Danio rerio: one gene and its partners. The protein of the gene in region 3 interacts with the protein of the main gene of each other region in a pairwise test. Links are inferred from orthologs where the notes say so. Each region holds a gene or a part of one and is shown on either strand. Other genes may lie near its edges.

The links.
Region 1: the proteins of sat1b (region 3) and kcna4 interact in binary tests that used the Homo sapiens proteins (3 or more experiments, as listed by UniProt). The link is inferred for Danio rerio from reciprocal best matches to the Homo sapiens genes SAT1 and KCNA4.
Region 2: the proteins of sat1b (region 3) and dipk1b interact in binary tests that used the Homo sapiens proteins (3 or more experiments, as listed by UniProt). The two-hybrid records come from large-scale screens. The link is inferred for Danio rerio from reciprocal best matches to the Homo sapiens genes SAT1 and DIPK1B.
Region 4: the proteins of sat1b (region 3) and tcf25 interact in binary tests that used the Homo sapiens proteins (3 or more experiments, as listed by UniProt). The two-hybrid records come from large-scale screens. The link is inferred for Danio rerio from reciprocal best matches to the Homo sapiens genes SAT1 and TCF25.
Region 5: the proteins of sat1b (region 3) and rbm17 interact in binary tests that used the Homo sapiens proteins (3 or more experiments, as listed by UniProt). The two-hybrid records come from large-scale screens. The link is inferred for Danio rerio from reciprocal best matches to the Homo sapiens genes SAT1 and RBM17.
Region 6: the proteins of sat1b (region 3) and taco1 interact in binary tests that used the Homo sapiens proteins (3 or more experiments, as listed by UniProt). The two-hybrid records come from large-scale screens. The link is inferred for Danio rerio from reciprocal best matches to the Homo sapiens genes SAT1 and TACO1.

What each region holds. Positions count from the first base shown.
Region 1 is NC_133182.1:32,643,678-32,646,169, reverse strand, and holds part of kcna4 (potassium voltage-gated channel subfamily A member 4), read left to right. Parts: coding exon 1-492; 3' UTR 493-1,731; intron 1,732-2,492. UniProt on the Homo sapiens protein: Voltage-gated potassium channel that mediates transmembrane potassium transport in excitable membranes. Forms tetrameric potassium-selective channels through which potassium ions pass in accordance with their electrochemical gradient.
Region 2 is NC_133196.1:8,505,297-8,507,575, reverse strand, and holds part of dipk1b (divergent protein kinase domain 1B precursor), read left to right. Parts: coding exon 1-15; intron 16-296; coding exon 297-473; intron 474-2,279.
Region 3 is NC_133199.1:25,853,383-25,857,639, forward strand, and holds the start of sat1b (diamine acetyltransferase 1b), read left to right. Parts: upstream 1-1,457; 5' UTR 1,458-1,634; coding exon 1,635-1,700; intron 1,701-1,977; coding exon 1,978-2,029; intron 2,030-2,106; coding exon 2,107-2,190; intron 2,191-4,257. Other genes in the region: acot9.1 (acyl-coenzyme A thioesterase 9, mitochondrial), read right to left, coding at 619-707, 896-909. UniProt on the Homo sapiens protein: Enzyme which catalyzes the acetylation of polyamines. Substrate specificity: norspermidine = spermidine >> spermine > N(1)-acetylspermine. This highly regulated enzyme allows a fine attenuation of the intracellular concentration of polyamines.
Region 4 is NC_133193.1:32,710,062-32,714,206, reverse strand, and holds the start of tcf25 (ribosome quality control complex subunit TCF25), read right to left. Parts: upstream 2,801-4,145; 5' UTR 2,722-2,800; coding exon 2,557-2,721; intron 268-2,556; exon of another isoform or gene 138-267; intron 1-137. UniProt on the Homo sapiens protein: Component of the ribosome quality control complex (RQC), a ribosome-associated complex that mediates ubiquitination and extraction of incompletely synthesized nascent chains for proteasomal degradation.
Region 5 is NC_133179.1:26,155,775-26,159,274, reverse strand, and holds part of rbm17 (splicing factor 45), read left to right. Parts: intron 1-2,534; coding exon of another isoform or gene 2,535-2,537; coding exon 2,538-2,611; intron 2,612-3,374; coding exon 3,375-3,473; intron 3,474-3,500. UniProt on the Homo sapiens protein: Splice factor that binds to the single-stranded 3'AG at the exon/intron border and promotes its utilization in the second catalytic step. Involved in the regulation of alternative splicing and the utilization of cryptic splice sites.
Region 6 is NC_133187.1:9,860,724-9,864,943, forward strand, and holds the start of taco1 (translational activator of cytochrome c oxidase 1), read left to right. Parts: upstream 1-1,420; 5' UTR 1,421-1,623; coding exon 1,624-1,939; intron 1,940-3,529; coding exon 3,530-3,636; intron 3,637-4,220. UniProt on the Homo sapiens protein: Acts as a translational activator of mitochondrially-encoded cytochrome c oxidase 1.

The DNA of each region.
Region 1 (2,492 bases), on a different chromosome or scaffold from region 3:
TCCAGCGCGGTGTACTTCGCAGAGGCGGACGAGCCCACGTCACAGTTCACCAGCATCCCAGATGCGTTTTGGTGGGCTGTGGTGACCATGACCACGGTGGGCTACGGTGACATGAAGCCCATCACGGTCGGGGGCAAAATCGTGGGCTCGCTGTGCGCCATCGCCGGCGTCCTGACCATTGCGCTTCCAGTCCCCGTCATCGTGTCTAACTTCAACTACTTCTACCACCGGGAGACTGATAACGAGGACCAGGCGCCCGCCGTGGAACAACCCCCACCGGGTTGCCCCTACTTTCCGGATTTCCTGAGAAAATTCAAGGGGTCCCCATCGGGCTCATCTTTAGGTGACAAGGCTGCGGAGTACATGGAGATGGAGGAGGGCGTGACGGAATCTCTGTGCGGGGGTGACACGCAGAGCCCGAGCAGAGGGAACGGTACTGACTTAGGCGGGAAAAACAGTTCACATTCACGAACCCTACAGACAGATGTATGATTATGGAAGAACGATGACCTTTCATCATGATGACTGCACAAATGAATCAGTTAACAGCACACACATGCACAACTTGAAGACACACACAGTACGCGCGTGCGCAGACACACTGTCTCACACACATTAAGTTCTGGACCTGAGCTGAAACTTTTTTGCAATGTGGCTGGCTACTTTTGTAGAGAAACATACCCTGTAATCACATGACAGGCAACGCAAAAATCACCAGCTTTACGTGACGTGGAGAGGTGTCTCTATCTGCCCGCCTGTTCAGTTCAGTTGACAGAACCGAACGACTCCCGGTTCATTAAATGAAGGAACTTGCATAGGCACTTTATGAGTTACATTTGTCAGTAATTGTAGGAAAAAGAGGCGAGTTCTTATCTAATGCTATTATGCAATAACGTTTAAATCGTTTGCACTATCATCAATTATGTTCTAGTCTCCCACTTTAATGCAGAGGAAAGAAACACTGAGCTAGAGAGAGAAACGACCCCATAGCAATCATGTTTTAAATTGCATTTATAATTAATTCCAAACAATAGCAAACATACGCTGTCCACGACCAATTCAGCTAACAGGAAGGAATTTGTTTCACTATTAGAATTAATTGGAGAGCAGCATGTTGCATAACTTAAGGCTATGTTATCTTAAAAATCCCATTGTGGCAAACATGTGTCCGCATGGCAGTATTCAGTATGTACTACACTCTGGTAAAAAACCCTTTTAGCACACCCTGTGTAGTTATTTGTGCATCGTCCAAAGTGACTAAAGAGTCATTATAGTCGGTCCCTTTTGTGAGTATTGAAAACAAACCAATCATGTTCGTTTTTGTTCATTAGCACAAGATCCACACCACACTACAGTTCATCCATCACGCGATCTAGGCGTCATTCTTTCGCAGCATTATCACATACAGAGTCCAAAATAACCGGTTTGCATTGTCTCACAAAGTAAAACACCTTGTACAACAGAGTCCACACCGACACCGTGGCTTGAAGGATCAGTTTGGCCACTGTTTTCAAGTTACTGTCTTGGGAGTTAATTTCAAGGGGAATGCTTCATGCAACTATCTTGTCTTCATCCCTTTACCAAATGACAATGCATCCCTTTATTAAAATGCTGGCGGAAATCTACAGCACTGATGGGAACATGAACTTGGTGGACTTCATGCACAGCGAATCCTCGTCTCAAAGGAGTGCACGATGACCACTGAGCATGCGCGGTGCATCGCAAACCCAGGTAAGTGTTTTCTGCTGCATCAAGACTCAGTTCAGTCACTCAGTCACGCTGTCATTACTCATGCTCAGATTTACACGCCGTCCAGATGTTTACGCATGTGCGCAGGTGTTTATGCATCTGCGTGGACCCGCTAGTTGCCTGTCAGGCCCAGAAACAGGTGCTCCACGTGATCTCAGCAGGCATGTGATTTCAGATCTCATGTTTTCTTGTTTCATAATAATACATCAACAATGCCTTGAATTGCTTAGCAACAAGGGGCTTATTGTCAGAGAGACGACTGACTGTGCTGTGTTCCCTTGGAATCCAAAAATCCTCATTTGCTCATGAAGTGTGCTGAGCTTCATTTTTCTGATGTCATAATAACTATTACTGATTTTTCTAGACAAGATAATGACCGTTTAATCTGCAGTAAACTGAGATTTTGTCATGACATGCTACACTGAAAAATACGATTTTTGCTAAATTGTTGCAATCAATTTACACTGCTTTTGCTGCTTGTTCAAACTACGTATTCAAAATGAGTTGAAACAACACAATTCTTAAGTTTGTTTTGGGACAACTTAATTGTTTTATGTTCAGTCCACTTAAATTTGTGAAAACCACTATTTCAACTTAATTGATTTGTGTTGGAACAACATGAAGGAATTGTGTGGAACCCAGCATTTCTTTACAGTGCATACACTGTAAAAAGTAACTGTACCAAAAGCCAGTAAACCAATTCCTTTAAAAGCAACAAGTTGCCTTCACAAAGATAATATGAG
Region 2 (2,279 bases), on a different chromosome or scaffold from region 3:
TCCCCAACACACCAGGTAAACAACAAAAACCAATTAAAAAAACAGAATAATGAAATAATAATGGGTCTCCTTTACTAAACATCCCTGTGCACAAATTATCAAAAACAAACAGTTGTGTGAAAAGCTCTTATATTGAGAGTGTATTATTCAAATTACTAACAGATAAAAGAAGTTTAAAGTTGGTATGAAACTTTAAGAACAACATATGCACGTGTTGTATGAAAAACGTACGCACTTATTGGATACAAGACACAAATGGCCTTTTAGGCAATAATATAAAATTGTTTGTGCTGCAGGTGTACAGTGCTGTATGGAAGGAGAAGGCTGTGTTAGTGAAGTGTGGGATTGAAGAGAGCATTAGAGGAGAAAATGGTCTTGATTCTCCATTACGACATGACAACAACCTCTACGACAAACCCACTCGCGGAACGTCCATGGATGAATTCAGAGCGATGCTGCATGCCTTCCTCAAGGTACCTCAATCTACTAGAATTCAGGATATAGTAGCGTGCTCGTTCCTGGAAGAATACTCAGGACTACATTTAAGGCATTTGCATTCATTGAAAAAGAGTGTTCAGGCCCTGGTATACTTCAAACTGTTATTTTTTGTTTGAGGCCAAAAAGAAGTTGAGTAAGTATACTGTTTTTAAACCTTCTGACAGCCCTTTGCTGCAGTAGGGGTTGTAAATGTCTCACACCGCTCAAGTGGACTCCTAAACACAACAACAATGGTAATACTGTGATGGTATGTTCACACCAGATGTAGATGAACCATAAAGCACAAGTGATTTGCATGTTAAGTCAATGCAGAGACGCCATCAGATGTGCGAATTCGCACGAATTGAGAATTTCGGGTGTTTGACATGCAAATCACTCTAGTTGAAAAATTAGAACTGTGGCAGATTTCATACCATGTTAACCAATCAGAAGCTTGCTTTAGTGGGGGCGTGATTATGATGTAGCGTTTGCAGTTGGTGTCCCAAAGGAAAAAACCCTGCCGACAAGGGACAACAGGTCATCAAATTCAGTCAGAAGTACCATTGAAAGTGTCTGTCATCCAGGTGCAGCTTCTGAATGAGTTGATGAACCCACAGAGCTAGGTGCACCTCCAAAGGATCCGATGTACCAAGACACAGCGCCGAATGAATATATGTTGTTTTTCAGCCTTCCTAAGACACTATTAATCTTTTGATAAAATCCATGGTAGCCATTAGCAATGAAACTGGAGTTGTCGGCCGACAGACACTCCTGCCATGACGCAAAGCCGCATCTGTCTTGAAGTGAATTTTACACGCGAATAAAGCGAGTAAACTTAAAATGTTCACGCATCTAATTACATGTGAATAGTACAACATGTTTGTGCAAGCCACATCGAGAGAAGTCAGCTGAGGTGGCTCAGGCATCCGTTTCGGATGCTTCCTGCACGCCTACCTAGGAAGGTGTTCCAGGCTTGTCCCAACCCGGAGGAGGCCTCAGGGAAGATCTAGGACACACTGCAGGGACTATGTCTCTTGGCTGGCCTGGGAACGCCTAGGGATCCCCCCGGGGGAGCTGGAGACTTCTGCCCCCGCAACCCGGCCCCGGAAAAACAAATGAAAATGAGATGAGATTTGTGCAATCAGTACCAGCTTTTTGACTTGACTCTCCAGTTTGTTCATGTTGCTAATTTAGGGTGCTTTCACACCTACACTTTTGTTTCGGAACCTGTCTCGTTTGCCCAGTTAGCGCAGTTCGTTTGGCATATGTGAATCCACCAATCGCTCTCTGATTCGCGCCAAATCAATTGCTCCGAGATCGCTTGAATGAGGTGGTCTCGTCTCGATTGAAACGAACTAAGGAGCGGATCGATTGCAGTGAGAAAGCAAACGATCCGAGCGCGGTTACATCACAGTGTTTTATGGATATGTAATAGGCAGACGGCTATATGAAGAGAGAATTATGAGTAGGGCGGGAAGTTTCGCGAGTCTCTGGATGCCCGCAAACAAGTGATAATCTCCCGGTAATCGCGCATCTCCCTCTCTTCGCGTGCACCTTGTCAAACACCACCAAACCACCACCTCTCCTGACAGCTGAGCGGGACTCTGCAAAATAAACCCCGACACTCTGACCAATGTGAGGAGAGTTTACTCACACGTGACTTGTTTTAGCTCTTTTGGTCCGATTGGAAACTTTGCAGTGTAAAAGCGAATGGCTCCAAGAGCAACAATGTAACATTTGTAATCTCTGTTTTGGAACAACTGAATCGATTCACGGGTGTGAAAGCATCCTTAGTTTCATTG
Region 3 (4,257 bases):
ACGGCCAATTTAGTTTATCCAATTCACCTTCACCTACATGCCTTTGGGGTGCAAGAGTATGGATGTTTCCCAGTGTTTGGTTGCAGCTAGAAGGGCATCTGAATGAATGAATGAACATTTTACTCTAGCCCACAATAATTCTAAAGAAACTTTTTCAATAGCTGTGTATTAATGCATGTATATGTATTTATATATGCGTATGTGTAAAACTTGTTCAGGCAACGCAGTGGCGCAGTAGGTAGTGCTGTCGCCTCACAGCAAGCAAGCTTGCTGGTTCGAGCCTCGGCTGGGTCAGTTGGCGTTTCTGTGTGGAGTTTGCATGTTCTCCCTGCGTTCGCATGGGTTTCCTCCGGGTGCTCCGATTTCCCCCACAGTCCACAGATATGCGGTACAGGTGAATTGGGTAGGCTAAATTGTCTGTAGTGTATGAGTGTGAATGAGTGTGTGTGGATGTTTCCCAAAGATGGGTTGCGGCTGGAAGGGCATCCGCTGCGTAAAAACATGCTGCATAAGTTGGTGGTTCATTCCACTGTGGCGACCTCAGATCAATAAAGGGACTAAGCCGAAAAGAAAATGAATGAATGAATGACTTATTCATTTTTATATATATAAAAATACCATCTGCCATATCAGGTGCTTTCCCTTGTCTACACATTTGCCCCATAGAAAATCCTCTACACATCAGGGACGATGCAGACTTCAGGACCCTATAAAGAATAAAAAACGTGTAAATTCGTGTCTATGGGGACATTACAAAACTACTGATAGCCACGTAATAAAATTACAATAAAAAGATGAACAAAATGAGACAGAACTAGTCTGTAACTCTTCATTCATGACTCACAAATGATGTACACAACAAAAGCGGGACGCAAGACATAATTGTGAAACTCACCGCGGAGAAAGCATCTTCCTTGTTCTTGGCTCACCACTTTATTGTATAATAACACGGATTTTTGCTGATATAAACAACCGCACGCTTCTAGCAGAGATGTCAGCCTTCTGGGCAGTGATTCGCATTTCCTGAAACGTATAGTGGTGGGTGCGGCTTAACTACCGCATTAACCATAACAAAAGCGCATCTTTAAGGAATTTTCCTTCACTTAACGGTTCAACCTTTACCGTAAATACGACATAGTTTTGAATGTTTTCAGTGTGATAAGCGGGACATATAAAGTTTTGAGAAACGCTCTTCAAACAACGTTTGACATGAACTTTAATCTTTTCTGCATCATTATGAAGGAAATGTCGTTCAAACTAACGTATATTCACCAAGAGCAACAACATTCCTACAGTATTTTGATCTTACTTATACATATTCATCAACAAGGGCTGTGCGTCATGACGAACCTCAAATGGACACCTCCTATTGGTTCGCGAAAGGAAAAAAACGTTATTATGGTGATTAAACCCCTCCCCGCCGGCAAATATATGCTCGACATTGATAAACAAAGGACATTTACTGAAGCCAGGTGAAATCCGCCGGGTCAGTTGCTGCATGCGAGTCCCACACAGGAGAAGCCCAAACTTGACAGCGCAGGGTAAAACCCGGGACAGCGAATGAAGAAACACCTTTTGCTTCACTTCACATATAGAGGACTAGTGAGAAAAGGGAAAAAGAGTAAAAGAAGAAAATGGCCAATTTTAATTTGCGTAAAGCGGAGCCCAAAGACGTGCCTGACATATTGCGACTCATAAAGGTAGAATTGTACAATTTATATATATATATATTCGGACTACAGAATATTCTGTCGAAACTTCTTTAACAAGTGCATAAATATTCCCGTTTTGATGTCCTCTCCTAAGTACTAATTTAAAAAGTTATTGTCACACTTATTTTGATTTATTATGTTCAAATGGTTACAAAATATCCAAATATGCCCTTCTATGACAACAACCCCTATAGGCCAACCGCCTACAGGACTTGGTGTTCGTCCAACTGTTCTGAAAGCATCTTTTCTTTACTAACTTCTGCAGGAACTCGCGAAGTATGAAGAAATGGAAGACCAAGTTCTTATAACTGAGAAAGGTGAGGTCCGTCAACGTGTCTGATGTGAGATCTGATCAATATTTTGCCCACAGTTACAACAATAGTTTTGTGTTTAGATCTGCTCGAGGACGGTTTCGGAGAGCACCCGTTTTACCACTGTGTGGTCGCAGACGTGTCAGCCGAGCATCAGAAAGTCGAAGGTAAAACACTGACTTTAACCTGTTGAATATCCAAATAGTTCGTTTTTTGGGGGGTTCACTAGAAGAAGTTTGTTATATATAACTTATATTTTAGCTAAATGTTTTAAAATACGTATTTTACTAAAATACTTATTTTTACTTACAGTACTTTAAAAAATTTGTATGCATGTGAATGTCTTTTTTTTTTTTGCCAAAATAATTAATAAAAACTGTAATCCACTAGCTTAAAGTGGTAGTTAACCCAAAACAGAAAGGTCTGTCATTATTTACTCACCTTTCACTTGTAAAAAAAAAAATATTTACAAACAAATAAAAAAATAAATACATTTGAATAACCTGGCTTTAAGGGATAGTTCACCCAAAACATAAACTTGTCAATATTTACTAACCCTTGTTAAAAACTTGTTTCAGTTTCTTTCTGCTGAACACAAAAGGTGAAACAACCAGAAAAGCTGTAACCATTGACCTCCATAGTATTTGTTTGTTCTACAATATAAGTCAGACGGTTACCAGTTTCCAGCTTTCTTTAAAATGTCTTTTTAACTTAGCAGGAGAAAAAAAGTGTATGCAACTTGGTGTGTAAATTTAAATGTTTGGTTACACAATCCCTTTAATAGGACTACCAAATATAATACGTGTCAGATGCACATTAACCCATGTGTGCTGTTGGGGATGTTTTCATTCACTCTGGGGTGATTTTGAGTCTTAATTTAGCCACAATTTTCTCTGCGTTTCAGCAAATGGAATGATTTTTGGTGACATCTTATTTAGACACATATTTTGGGAAAATGCTTTAAAATATTTTCAAAAATTCAATAATACACTCTGGCCAAATGTACTACCCTTTTGTTATGTTCTTGGCTGTTTTTGCCGAATTGACTCTCATTATAAGTACATTTTGTAATCATGCTTTTTGATTGTTGGTGGTTTTCCCTGTTGGAAAGAGGTAAATGTACAAATTTTTACTGTTGATCATCAGTTGCAGAGCAAAAAAAACTTATTTTCTGGACAAAAGTTATATCGTTGTATGAAGTATAGTGTGTGTGTGTGTGTGTGTGTGTGTGTGAAAGAGACCTTTGCGCACTTACCTTTATGTTTGAGAAAATACAAAAATAAGCAGCTGAGTTCTCAGAACATATACTAGTACTTATATCAAGTGTATTTATGCACGCACACTATAATCTGCTGTTTTCCTCCATAGAAAAGTCAGAAACTTTTTTGCACAGGTCTATCTAAAGAGTTTATGCTTTTAACTGATGATCAACAGTAAAAATATAAAGATTTATCTCATCCAAACAGGGGAAAACACCAACGATCAAGAATGCACGATTATTTGGTGCCATGGCTTTGCAATAAAAAAATGTCGTTATAATGGAAGTCAGTGGAGCAAAAACAGCCACCAACATAACCAAAGGGTAGTCAATTTGAACAGTACACAAGTGTAATTACACTTAATATGTGTAGTTTTAGAACTTTTCTCTTATTTAAAAAAACGCACTTTACACCTGAAACATCCGTGTTGTTTTCTGCAAGTCCAAATTAATCAAATGACACAACTTTTTAAATAATAAAACTTCAGTCACATTGTTCTGCATTTTAAACATATTGGATAAATATTTGTCACACTTTATTTTGCAGTGTAACTATACATTTAAAGTCCCCAAGAAATCAAAACTAATCATAGGATTTTGTTAGCTCACATTGCCAGTTTTGTGGTGAACAATTTATCTGTGCATGTCATTAAGAAAAAAATGTTTGCCCTTCTGATCTTTAATGAAAATCTGAAAATGCACTTCCTGTTTGTTTACAGTTAAATTATCATATTACATTACTTAGAGGTAATGGGCGTGGCTAACATATTTAATCAGGCTGGTTCAACTGTCAGTTTTGACAACAAACAAATGGTGAGGAGGAGTCTGTTAAGTTGTAATAACTCTTCTAAAAACCCTTTACTACATCCATTTAGCCTGCGATAAAAACAAAACAAAACAAGCAATGCCCACTGTTTGCTCATTTAAAATTCGGTTTCTCTAGGAACTGTGTCACAATACTTAAAATAATGATCAC
Region 4 (4,145 bases), on a different chromosome or scaffold from region 3:
TAGAGCAGATCCTCGAATCAAATATCTCGTTTGTCGCGAGGGGCATGAACGAATTCCCTGAATGAAAGAGCCAAACTGCAGTTAAAGTCCACCATTTAATAATTTGGCAAATAATTCCACTACAGATGTCCATGTAGGTTAAACACCATCTCTTTCTCCTGTGTGTAAGTATTTTGACTGAAACTTGCGCGTGCCCAAATAGACACTCCCACACCCTCCCACTTTAGTTCCTCCGACACTCCCCCCTAAACAGAGCTGGACACGCCCACTTTTCTGACTTTTTCCAAAGTAGAGGTGTGAAAACACCCTGCTGAAACGAGGGGGTTTCATGGCCCTTTAAGGCACTGTTGATGGCTTTCTTAAAAGAGCGCTGATTTACTGAGAACAAACACAGATGAGCCGAGCGATCTGTTCAATGACTCGATCTTGATCTTCACGGCTGCTTCGCGCTCCAGTCTCTGTGTATCTGTGTTTGCACTGGGTGAAGACCAGTAAACTTAGTGCAAACACAAATACACGGAGACTGGAGTACGAAGCGGCCCTTTAACGTTAGCCAGTTTTAAAAGACAACACTATTACAGACAACATGAGGGTGTGCTATAGAGGGCTGCAGTGTTTTATCGCTCACCGTGTTACATAGGCTGAAGCAGGAAAGCGTCCACACGGTGTTTAACTGATGCCATGAATTGAAGCCTAGCAGGAAACTTGAGCATATTACTCTTACAGAGATTGTAATGTTGTTTGATGCCTAATTTGCTTTTAATTATTTAAATTAAACTTACTCAATAATATTAAAGTGATGGTTACCCCATTTCTGCATTTTAAAATCGCGACAACAGCTAGAGTTTTGTAGTCCACAGCATGTTGCTGCAATGTTTACAGTGTTAGTCATATACTTCCGAGTTTCTTCCCACCGCATCCTCACTTTGGTTCTTTAAAATGTCGGCCACGTGAAATAAGCGTATAAATGCTTATGTTGATGCTTTAAGTTTTTAAAGGTACAGTTCTGACTGTATGTATTAAAGGACAAAATTGTATTACAAACAATATTTATATATTTTCATTCAATTTTCTTGTGCTGTGAAGTAAAATATAAAATTGTGTATATAAAGCGTAGTCAACACACCATGGTGCACTGAGATATCAAATTAAACTGAATCGATGGCATGATAATCGTAACTGAACTTTGAGACCAGTGTATGTTCACACCTCTACAAAATAGACACGTCAATTGTTTTTTTTTTAAATAATAATTTAACATTAATCTGGCCAGTTAACGGTTAATATTCAGCTTACAAACAGTGGTTGTGGGTTGGCAAAATTAGCTGAAATAAGCATACCTAACAAGAACAATTGTGTTGCCAAGTAAAATATCAAAATGTTTATGGAAAGCATCTCCAATGCACTGAGATTACATGATACCGAACAAATTACATGATAATCGTAAATGAAGTAAACCATGAGACCAGTATAGACCAATTATCAACCTACGTCACGCATGACGTCACACGGGTCCCCGGTTGCAAAAATAGACAGGCTGCAATAGTAAACATGTCGTGTTGTGCCAAATTTGAATAGAAAACTTAACTTTTACCATACACCACACTGCTTTAATGCCAACTGCAGAAGTTTGGCTAGAAGAGAGCTGAATGAAGTGACGACCTTATTAGAAATGCTGGACTCTGCTACGCTGAATCATACAAATTACTCATTTTTGATTGCAGAAATGATTTCAGCAAAAACAGTTACATATGGTAAATTAAACTGCGGACACTAAATGCAAAGAATGAAACGTGAAAGTGTAAGTTATTAAGGTAAACTCAGTTTTATATTTACACATTCATTTAGTGACAAGTTGTGACACACTCCCTATATTGTTTACCATGGCATTTTGAATATTCGGTCTGAAATAACCTGCAAGTAGAACTTGAAAACAACAATAACACTGTTTATATGACTGTGAACACTTTGATAGTCATTGTCTGCTAATATGATTTCACTCTTTAGGGCATAGCATCCTGAATGTTTACAATCATGGCAATTGGTCTATAAGTTCACATCCCTAGACTGAACAGTAGAACCAGCTCATTTGCATTTGAAGGCACAGGTTACAAATACAGCTATAATTTCCTTGTACCCTAAATTTATACTTAAATTTACTCAAAGACACAATCTGGAGACACCAAAGACTTATCTTACATCTTGTAAAAAGGGTAAAATAGGAGAAATTTAAAGATATTTTTTATTTTTTTAACCATTATTATTATATTATACATAATACATTATTATTATTATTATTATTATTATTATTATTAGTGCATACTTAAAATGTTAATAATAATGGGAAGTATTATTTAATTTAACTTTTTTATGTTGCATCGCAAGAATTTTTCAGAATTATTACTTGTTTGTTATTATTATTTCTTTTTCTATTAAGGTGAAACAACCAAAAGAATTTTGCACCAGCCATAATCAATTCAGTATTACCATTTTCAAGTAATGCCATTTGATCATGTCACTCACTGCATTGTGATAATATAATATGCATAGTGTTACCAGTTCAAATAAGCTGCTGAAGTTCCTCGGTTTACGGGTTGTTTGTTCGGCAATCTTCATCTGCTCTTCTTCATCTTTGTCATCTTCCTTAATAAGCTCGTGCTCTTGTAACACGGCCTGAGCGCGTTGTTCGCCCTTCAGCCTACGTAGAGCGCGACTCGACATGTTGGACGTCAGCACAACTTATCAATAACCACGAATCTAGCCCATAGGAACTAGCGCACTCGTTTCACAAACTTGCACTGAAACAAACAGGCTTACTAGTCCTCTACCCCTTCCTGGTCTTCTTCTTCGTTTAGCTTAAAGGCGAGTTGTAAGGTAACACTCAATAGGGCGCTGCCACCTACTGCGATGGAGTATGAAGATATGACATCAACCCAGAATATCTTTCTATAAATAGTACAATGAAAAAATAAGACAATTAGTTTTTTTTTCATTACAAGTTTCACAGGAGTAGTCCATCTTTATTTTAAAAATGTTCCAATATATGTTTCACAGGATAAATTCTTTCTTTGTAATAAAGAAAATGATGTTTATAACATTGCTTAGAATTTATCAACTAATGTTTAAGCCTTACACAACATTAAGTCTGCAAGTACTAATGACCAAAAAAAAAAAATATATGTATCAAGCTGTAGGATAAAACATCATTTACTAAATTTTTTATGCATTTATTTGGATTGCTGTCTTTTAAAATATTCAAATTTGCTATGAATATTGTCTTAGTTATATTATTCAAATTAGTTTTTTGCTGCAATCGTTTATAAGAAGAGATTTAATACATTTTGAGGTAGCCTAAAATTCATTATAATTGCATAATCTCTGGGCATAATTGCAATTTTAATTTTGTCAAAAATTTGTGTATGATAACATTACTATTGATCAACTGACTGACCAAAAGTATATGGTTTTAAAACCAGTTATATAAAATGTTTCTGTTATTCCAAATGTAATACATTAGAGTGGAAATATGCTTGGGCCAACGTCCACTTAATGAGAGCTTGTTGATGAAATCTTGCCAATTGAATCTCAATATTAACTTTAAATTTATCTGTCAATACAATGATTAGCCTACACTATAAAAAAGTAAATCAAAACCACCTAATGACTTAAACAAGAAATTTGGCAATGTGTAAGAACATTAGTTGAAGTCAGAATTATAAGCCCCCATTGGATTTTTTAAAAATATTTCCCAAATGATGTTTAACAGAGCAAGAAAATTTTCAAAGTATGCCTGATAATATTTTTCTTCTGGAGAAAGCCTTATTTGTTTTATTTTGGCTACAATAAAAACAGATTTAATTTTTTTATAAACCATTTTGAGGGCAAAATTATTAGCCCTTTTAAGCTAAAATTTTTTTTCATCGAATTAGTCTACAGAACAAACCATAGTTATACAAAAACTTGCCTAATTACCCTATCCTGCCTAGGTAACCTAATTAACCTAGTTAAGCTTAAATGTCACTCTGAGCTCTTTAGTGTCTTGAAAAATATCTTGTCAAATATTATTTACTGTCATCATGGCAAATATAAAATAAATTAGTTATTATAAATGTGTTATTAAAACTATTATGTTTACAAATGTGTTG
Region 5 (3,500 bases), on a different chromosome or scaffold from region 3:
GGATTTTATAGTTATAAAATATTCCAATTATATTGGAATATAATTTAGCTTAGTATTCAACAAAGACAAAAAAAAAAAAAAAAATATATATATATATATATATATATATATATATATATATATATATATATATATTAGTGCTGTCAATCGATTAAAAAAATTTAACTAATTAATCACACTTTTTTTGAAAATGAATCAGGATTAATCACATTTAGACTGAAACTTGTAATTTTGGCTATTCAAATGTAAAATTAATGTAAACGCAAGAATTTTTTTTTTTTAATTCAAAATATAATTGGTTATTATAATTTTTGTTTAACTTGTAACACAGATTTCTTTATATAAACAACAAACCCACAATAAAACATCAAGATCCTGGCTTGACAGCCATTGACATGCAGAAATTTAAACACAGGCATGTTAATGCCTTTTGAATTTCAAAACAATCAATACCAATATAGAAAACATTAATTTCCAAGTTGGATTCTAAGTGGACTGCAAAAAATGCCACAATTCAGGCATTTCAGATATGGAAACTGGAAAATTATTATAACAATAATAAAGTATTGAATACAAACAATTGCACTCATTGCACAATTGCACTCAGTTGTATTGCTGTGAGCAACGCAATCTCATGGCAATTCGTAACTTTTTAATTTAGTGCGCGCATGCACACACACACACACACACACACACACACACACACACAGAGAGAGAGAGAGAGAGAGACAAAGACAGACAGACAGACAAACTCGCACAGGACAGCGCAGCAGGAGTGACTCCCTTCAGATTCAACACACATGATCACGTTCATCAAATTTGCTTAAACTAAGCGTTCTAAAGTATTGCTGTATTTCACAAGGATTCTGACACAACAACATAGTGCGTTGACACACTAATTTTGACAGCACTAATATATATATGTCATGCAATAATAATAATAATAGATTAAATAACAATACATTGAAATTTAATCATAAAATCAGCATATTAAAATTATTTTTGAAGGTGTAAAAACTTATCAAATATACAAATCCAAATGAGAAAAAGTTACGACAGTATGGAAAATGAAAGTAAAAAAGAAAGTAGTGATTTCTACATTTACTTTGACTTGTATTTCGTTGCAGACAAAACAACAAACATTTATTTAATAATGGTTGCCTGTGATTTTTCTTGTTTTTTTTTTTTTTTCCAAAATAAGCATGTATTCCAATTTTGGTTCTTGCAACACATTTCAAAAAAGCATTAACTATTTTGTAATGTTGCCCTTTCTTCACAACACTTAAGATTTGTTTGGAGGAAAAATGGGATAAATTTACAACTGAAACACTTCATCACTTGGTGCATTTTGTGCTTTAAAATGCACCACATTTTCTTTTGGAGAATTGGGACTGCAGACAGGACTTTGATTTGTGCAGAATGTGGTTTTGCGTTGTCTTGTTGACATGGGCATGAGCATCCCTGGAAAAGAAGGCAACATATTGTGCTCCAAAATCTCTACTTTTCAGCATTGATAGTTTTATCAAAGGGTACTGTCACAACCCCTCAGCTTAGGCTTGTGCCCATGTCCTTTACACACTGAAATTCTTCCAGATACCTTAAATCTTAAAATTATTTTATGCACTGTTAAAGGTGAAACATACAAATCTTCCTATCTTTCTTTGAGGAACTTTGTTTTTAAACATTACTAATTTTCTCACGTTTGTTGGCAAACTGGCAATCCATGGCCAATCTTTGCTCCTGTAGGACTTGACCTTTCTTGAATGCTGATTTGTACCAAATCATAATTACAATCACTTGTTGACAACACATGTTTCTAATCACATTCTTATCAATAACTTGTTCACCTGACTACTAGTCCTAAATTGCTCCTGTCCCAACTTTTTTTGGAATGTGTTGCAGATCTGACTGACAGGAAAGAATGTACATTTACAAATGAAATGAAGCTGACCGGACAAAACATGAAATATTTTGTGTCCATATTGTCTGCAATGTAATACAAGTAAAAAAAAAATTAGGAAATCACTACTTTCTTTTTTTATTTGCGTTTTCCATACTGTCCCAACTTTTTCTAATTTGGGGTTGTAGTATCGAAGAATATTAGAATATAATGGAATATTGAAATATAATAGAATGTTGTGATATTATGTAACATTGCATTCGTTATATATACTTTTACTTTATTTGTGATTGTAACAAAAGCTTTTAGCATCTGCTGTAGTTGATAAAGGTAATATTAATATAGTGTAATATAATATTATATAACAATTTGTGCACTATTGATTGAAACAAAAACTATACAAAAGCTTTGAATGTTATAGTATATATTTGCCAATGCTTTTAATCCACATGAAATGCCATACCCAGACTTCCATTAGCATTTTTAGATTTTATTGAGCGGAGTTATTTTAAAATAACCTTGTTCACTAAACATGTTGTTTAATTGTTATATTGTGTTTAAAAGAGGTTGTCTACTCTTTTGTGAAACTCTGTTTTATGATATAATTATAATTTGAAATATGATGTGTTTGTAGCAGATGCCTCAAAGAAAAACGAAACCAACCCTCTCACAGAGATCCTCAAATGTCCTACAAAGGTGGTGTTGCTACGGGTAAGTTTTATATCAATTCTCCTAAATAAAATAGAAATAATTATATAAAATATACAGTGCCTATAGAAAATCATCATACCCTGTGAAAATCTATACATTACACCCTGCTTTTAAAAGATCTTCAGGATAACGTAGAAAGGCTTAAGTTTGGAGAAGTCTACAAAAGGCTATTTGGAGTGTGATTTGATTCCAGGATGAATGACAAATAAAGTATTTATTTGCAAGGGGTATGAAGATTTTCTACAGGCACTGTAAATATTTTAAAATATGGATATATGACTTTGCAATATATATATATATATATATATATATATATATATATATATATATATATATATATATATTTTTTTTTTTTTTCCCGTATTTAAGTATTTCACCAGATGACTTGAGCTCAATTTGGGAATAATGGATTGTTTTAGGGTTATTGGTGTGATTTTGCTGTGGACAGAATTACATTAATTATTATAAACCAATTACAAGCATAAAATAATTACAACCTTGTTTGGATTGTTTACACACACAAAAAAAGACAAACTTTCGCTCCATTATAGTTAACATTTGAAAGGAATGCACAAATCATGTGTTATCTGAACTGGGCTGCCTTGTTTGATGAGGAATTAATTTTAATACCAGATGTCTTATTTTTTGTCACTTAATGTAATTTTTGCTCACATTTAACTTCTATACATTTGACAGCAAGTTTCAGAAATATTCAGGTCAGTTTGGTCAAAACCATTTGTTGTAATTATTGTCTTATATGTAGAACATGGTTGGAAGAGGAGAGGTGGATGAAGACCTGGAAGCTGAGACGAAAGAAGAGTGTGAAAAATATGGCAAAGTCGTTCGATGTGTCATTTTTGAGGTAATGTCAAACATTTTGTTCTGTGCT
Region 6 (4,220 bases), on a different chromosome or scaffold from region 3:
TACTCGCAAAACAAAGGAACGTTTTGCAAAAAAAAATAATAATAATAAAGTATTGAGCAAAAAATAAATAAAAATAAATGCAAATCTCCAAAAATTGCAAAGTGAAAATCAATTTTTGAGAAATAAAAATTAATTTTGCTAACAAAAATAAAGAACTGCAAAGGGAAAATTAAGTTTTGAGAAATAAAAATTTAATTTGCAAACAAAAAAAAACTGCAAAAAAATCAAGCTATGCAAAATAAAGCTAAAATATTTGCGATAAAAAATATATATTATATATATATATAACTATATATTGGCAACACATTTTTTAAGCATTGCCTTTACAAAACCCGTTTAGTCAATTGCAATGCTCTTTTAGATTTGCTTTTTAGTCAACCGTGAGTTTTCGATGCTGTTTTTACTTTGCACTTCACATTTTTGTGGGTTTCACTTTGTGGCCCTGATTTGACAAGGGGGCGGTGTCTAACTTTGACGTTTACGGCAGGGCCAGACCTGCCTCTATTTACTTTCTATATGGCCCTATATTGACTCCATGGAATTTTCTCAGTATTATAATTACACAAGAGCAAAAAAAAATGTAACTCCGTAATTTAGAGAAAAACTAATTTGGGATAAAATTCCACAAAGTGGCAGGATTTTTAAGATGCTGATTAATCCACTTAATTTTGAATGAATTAACATTAGTAAAACTGATGAAATTAATCAACTTTTCATAATTATTCAAAATTACAGATTTTTTAATATAGTGTTTCTTATTTTTCCATAAAAAAAATTAAACAAGGATTGATCAATTGTCTTAGAAGTCTTGGTATCCACATTGAGTGATTGGGTCTAAAGCAGACCCTCTTCTTTAGAAAAGTAAAGTTCTACCCTTAAGGCATCTCTTGACTACAACTACAGTTGAAGTCAGAATTATTAGCCCCCCTTAGATTTTTTTTCTTTTTAATTATTTTTCAAATAATGTTTAACAGAGCAAGGAAATTTTCAAAGTATGTCTGATAATATTTTTTCTTCTGGAGAAAGGCTTATTTGTTTTATTTCGGCTAGAATAAAAGCAGTTTTTAAATTTTTAACACCATTTTAAGGTCAATATTATTAGCCCCTTTAAGCTATATATTTTTTCGATTGTCTACAGAACAAATCAACTTGCCTAATTACCTTAACCTGCCTAGTTAACCTAATAAACCTAGTTAAGCCTTTAAATGTCACTGTAAGCTGTATAGAAGTGTCTTGAAAAATATTTAGTAAAATATTATTTACTGTCATCATGGCAAAGATAAAATAAATCAGTTATTAGAAAATGAGTTAATAAAACTATCATGTTTAGAAATGTGTTGAAGAAATTTTTTGAGGGCCACCTCACATCTCACCTCACATCTACTCTGAGTACTTTTATTTTGAAATTAGTGTAACCGGTGATGACGTTTATGGTGTTGCTATCTCTTGGACTCGTGCGTTAAGAAGTCGCTCTGCTTAATTAAATGACTACAAAATTCTAACATACACATTTAGTTTACTGTCTTTAGTAACGGAACGCGTTATATCAATGAATGTTCTAATCATGACCGCAAAATAGTACCTGAAACTCTCCTGTTAACGCGTGCACGACGCTGGAAGCGTATGATTTTAAAGCAAAGGCAGCATGACATTCTGACCAAAGTCGTTTGCTTTGGAGTCAAACACACAGCTCATGTGCCCGGTGAAAGAAGAGGAATGTTAGTGAACATCATGCTGAGGGCTTTCAGGTTGTCCAGGCGAGCGTCTGCGGTGTTTCAGTGTCCAGTCCTTCACCCATGTAGAGCTCTGCACTCCAGTCCTGTGAGCTGGGCAGGACACAACAAATGGTCCAAAGTGAAGGATATTAAAATACCCAAAGATGCTGCTCGAGCCCGGGTCATTGCTAAGTACACCATGATGATTAGGATTGCAGTCAGAGGTGAATGCATGATATTTGAGTGAAAGTCCAAGGTCAAGTTGGTTTTAAATTCACACATTTGGACTTTCTCCTTAATGTAGTTTCAGAGAATATTGTTTTTGCCTAAATATGGCTCATATTAGCAGGCAATGACTATTCAAGTACAACATTGCTCATAGTCAAATAAATAATGCTAATGTTGTTTTTAAGTCATATTTACATGTAATTTCAGAACTAATATTCAAATTACCATAGTAAACTATAAAGGGAGCCTCTCACAAGTTGTCACTGAGCAAATGTGCGAATATAAAACCAGCCTATAACGTTAGAGCTAAAGTTGGTTTTATATTCAGATATTCAGACATTCTCCTTAAATATATAATTTCTTTAAAGTATACCTTGCAAATTCTAAATTGGAAAATCATATTAGCGATCGAGTATTAAAAGTAACATGGTAAACAATATAGAGACTGCTAAAATAACTAATATGCAAATTTAAAACCAACTTTACCTCAATAAAAACCCATCACTGGCTAATAATGATGCAATTTGCTGACGTGATGTTATAGTTTCACTGTTCCACCTGACTAAAATGATTGGAATTAGTATTGTCATCATTTAAAAACAAAAAAAGGGTAAACATTTTGTCTTCCATAAGCCTCTTGTTATAAAATAAAAATGCTTTTATGAAATTTTTAGTCAAATCTCAAATCTGTTCTGAGTCTGACTCCTGTCTCTGGAATAGTTTAATAAATTACAGAAAATTTTAAAATGATTAATAAGTAACTTATGTCTAATTTTAGTAAAGCATTAAAAATATCACAATAATTCTTTAGTCTATATGTTTCTATTAATAGTGGCAATTCCACTGAAAATTGTGAATTAGTTGAAGGACCCAGATCATGACCTGCACCAGTTTAATTGTTCTCATATTAACCACTGTTGTTAAGTTTTGTTGTTATTTAGTGTGACACCTGTTTATTAAAAATGTTCGACAAGTCAAGAAAAAAAATCATGATTCATGATTTCATATAAAATAAATGGCACAAAATGAAGCTACAATTCAATAATAAAAAAAAACAGTGAAAGAATTGACAAAGTTGAAAAAAAAAATTGACAAAGACCACTTTTTATTGTTAGACCTCAAACTACATGAATATAAAAAAAAATCTCAAAAACGATTTTGCCAAAAAAAGTTTTTACTACAATAGAGGTTAAGTTAATTTTATATTCGTATATTCATGCATTCTCCTTAAAAATATAATTTCTGAAAAGTATTCTTTGCAAATTCTAAATAAGAAAATCATATTAGCAGCCAATGACTATTAAAAAACAACCATGCTTACAGTCAATTAGATAGTGTTCGTGTTGTTTTCAAGTCATACTTACATGCTAATTCTGATTGAATGTTCAAATTAGCATGGTAAACAATATAGTGACAGTTAAATGAACGAATGTGCGAATTTAAAACCAACTTTACCTCAATTTTACTACATATTTGTCAACTACACATGTACCATAGTAATACTATGGTATACTTCAAAGTACCATGATGCCACTGGGTGATTTTGCAGTGACTCTGTGTTAGATGACCAGGTGTTTTTGTTTCAGAGGGAGGACCCAATCCAGAATTAAATGTTGGACTGGCACAAATTCTAGAGCAGTGCCGGAACAAGAATCTGCCCAAAACCACCATTGAAGGAGCACTAAAGGGAGCCGTAAGACTGTTTTAAATATCTACTACTTGCATAAATAAATGACATTAGGTATTTAACAGGATTTGAAGAAATACTGTAGTTTGCACAAAATATAAGATTCAGTATTTTTTCTTAGCTTCAGTTTTTCCTGTTTTTTTCACAACCCCAAATCAGATGTTTAGTATGCAAAAAGCAAATGAAAAGAAATGATTTCTAAATTTACTTTGACTTTTATTTGATTGCAGACAATACAACAGCACATTATTTAATGTGTTTCTCATGGTTTTTAAAAATAAACACAATCCAATTTTGGTTCTTGTAACATATTTAAAAAAAAGGTTGGGACAGTAAAGCATTTACCACTTTGTAATGTTGCCATTCCTTTTTACAACACTTAAAAGACATTTAGCGACTGAAGACACCAAGTGATGAAGTGTTTCAGCTGTAAGTTTCTCCCATTCTTCCTGCAAACATGTCTTTAGGTGTGCAATAATACAGGGTCTTCATTGTCCCATTTTGCGCTTTAAAAATGCACCACACATTCTCTATTGGAGACAGGTCGGGACTGTAGGCAGGCCAGTCACGTACCTGTATCTTCTTCCTTT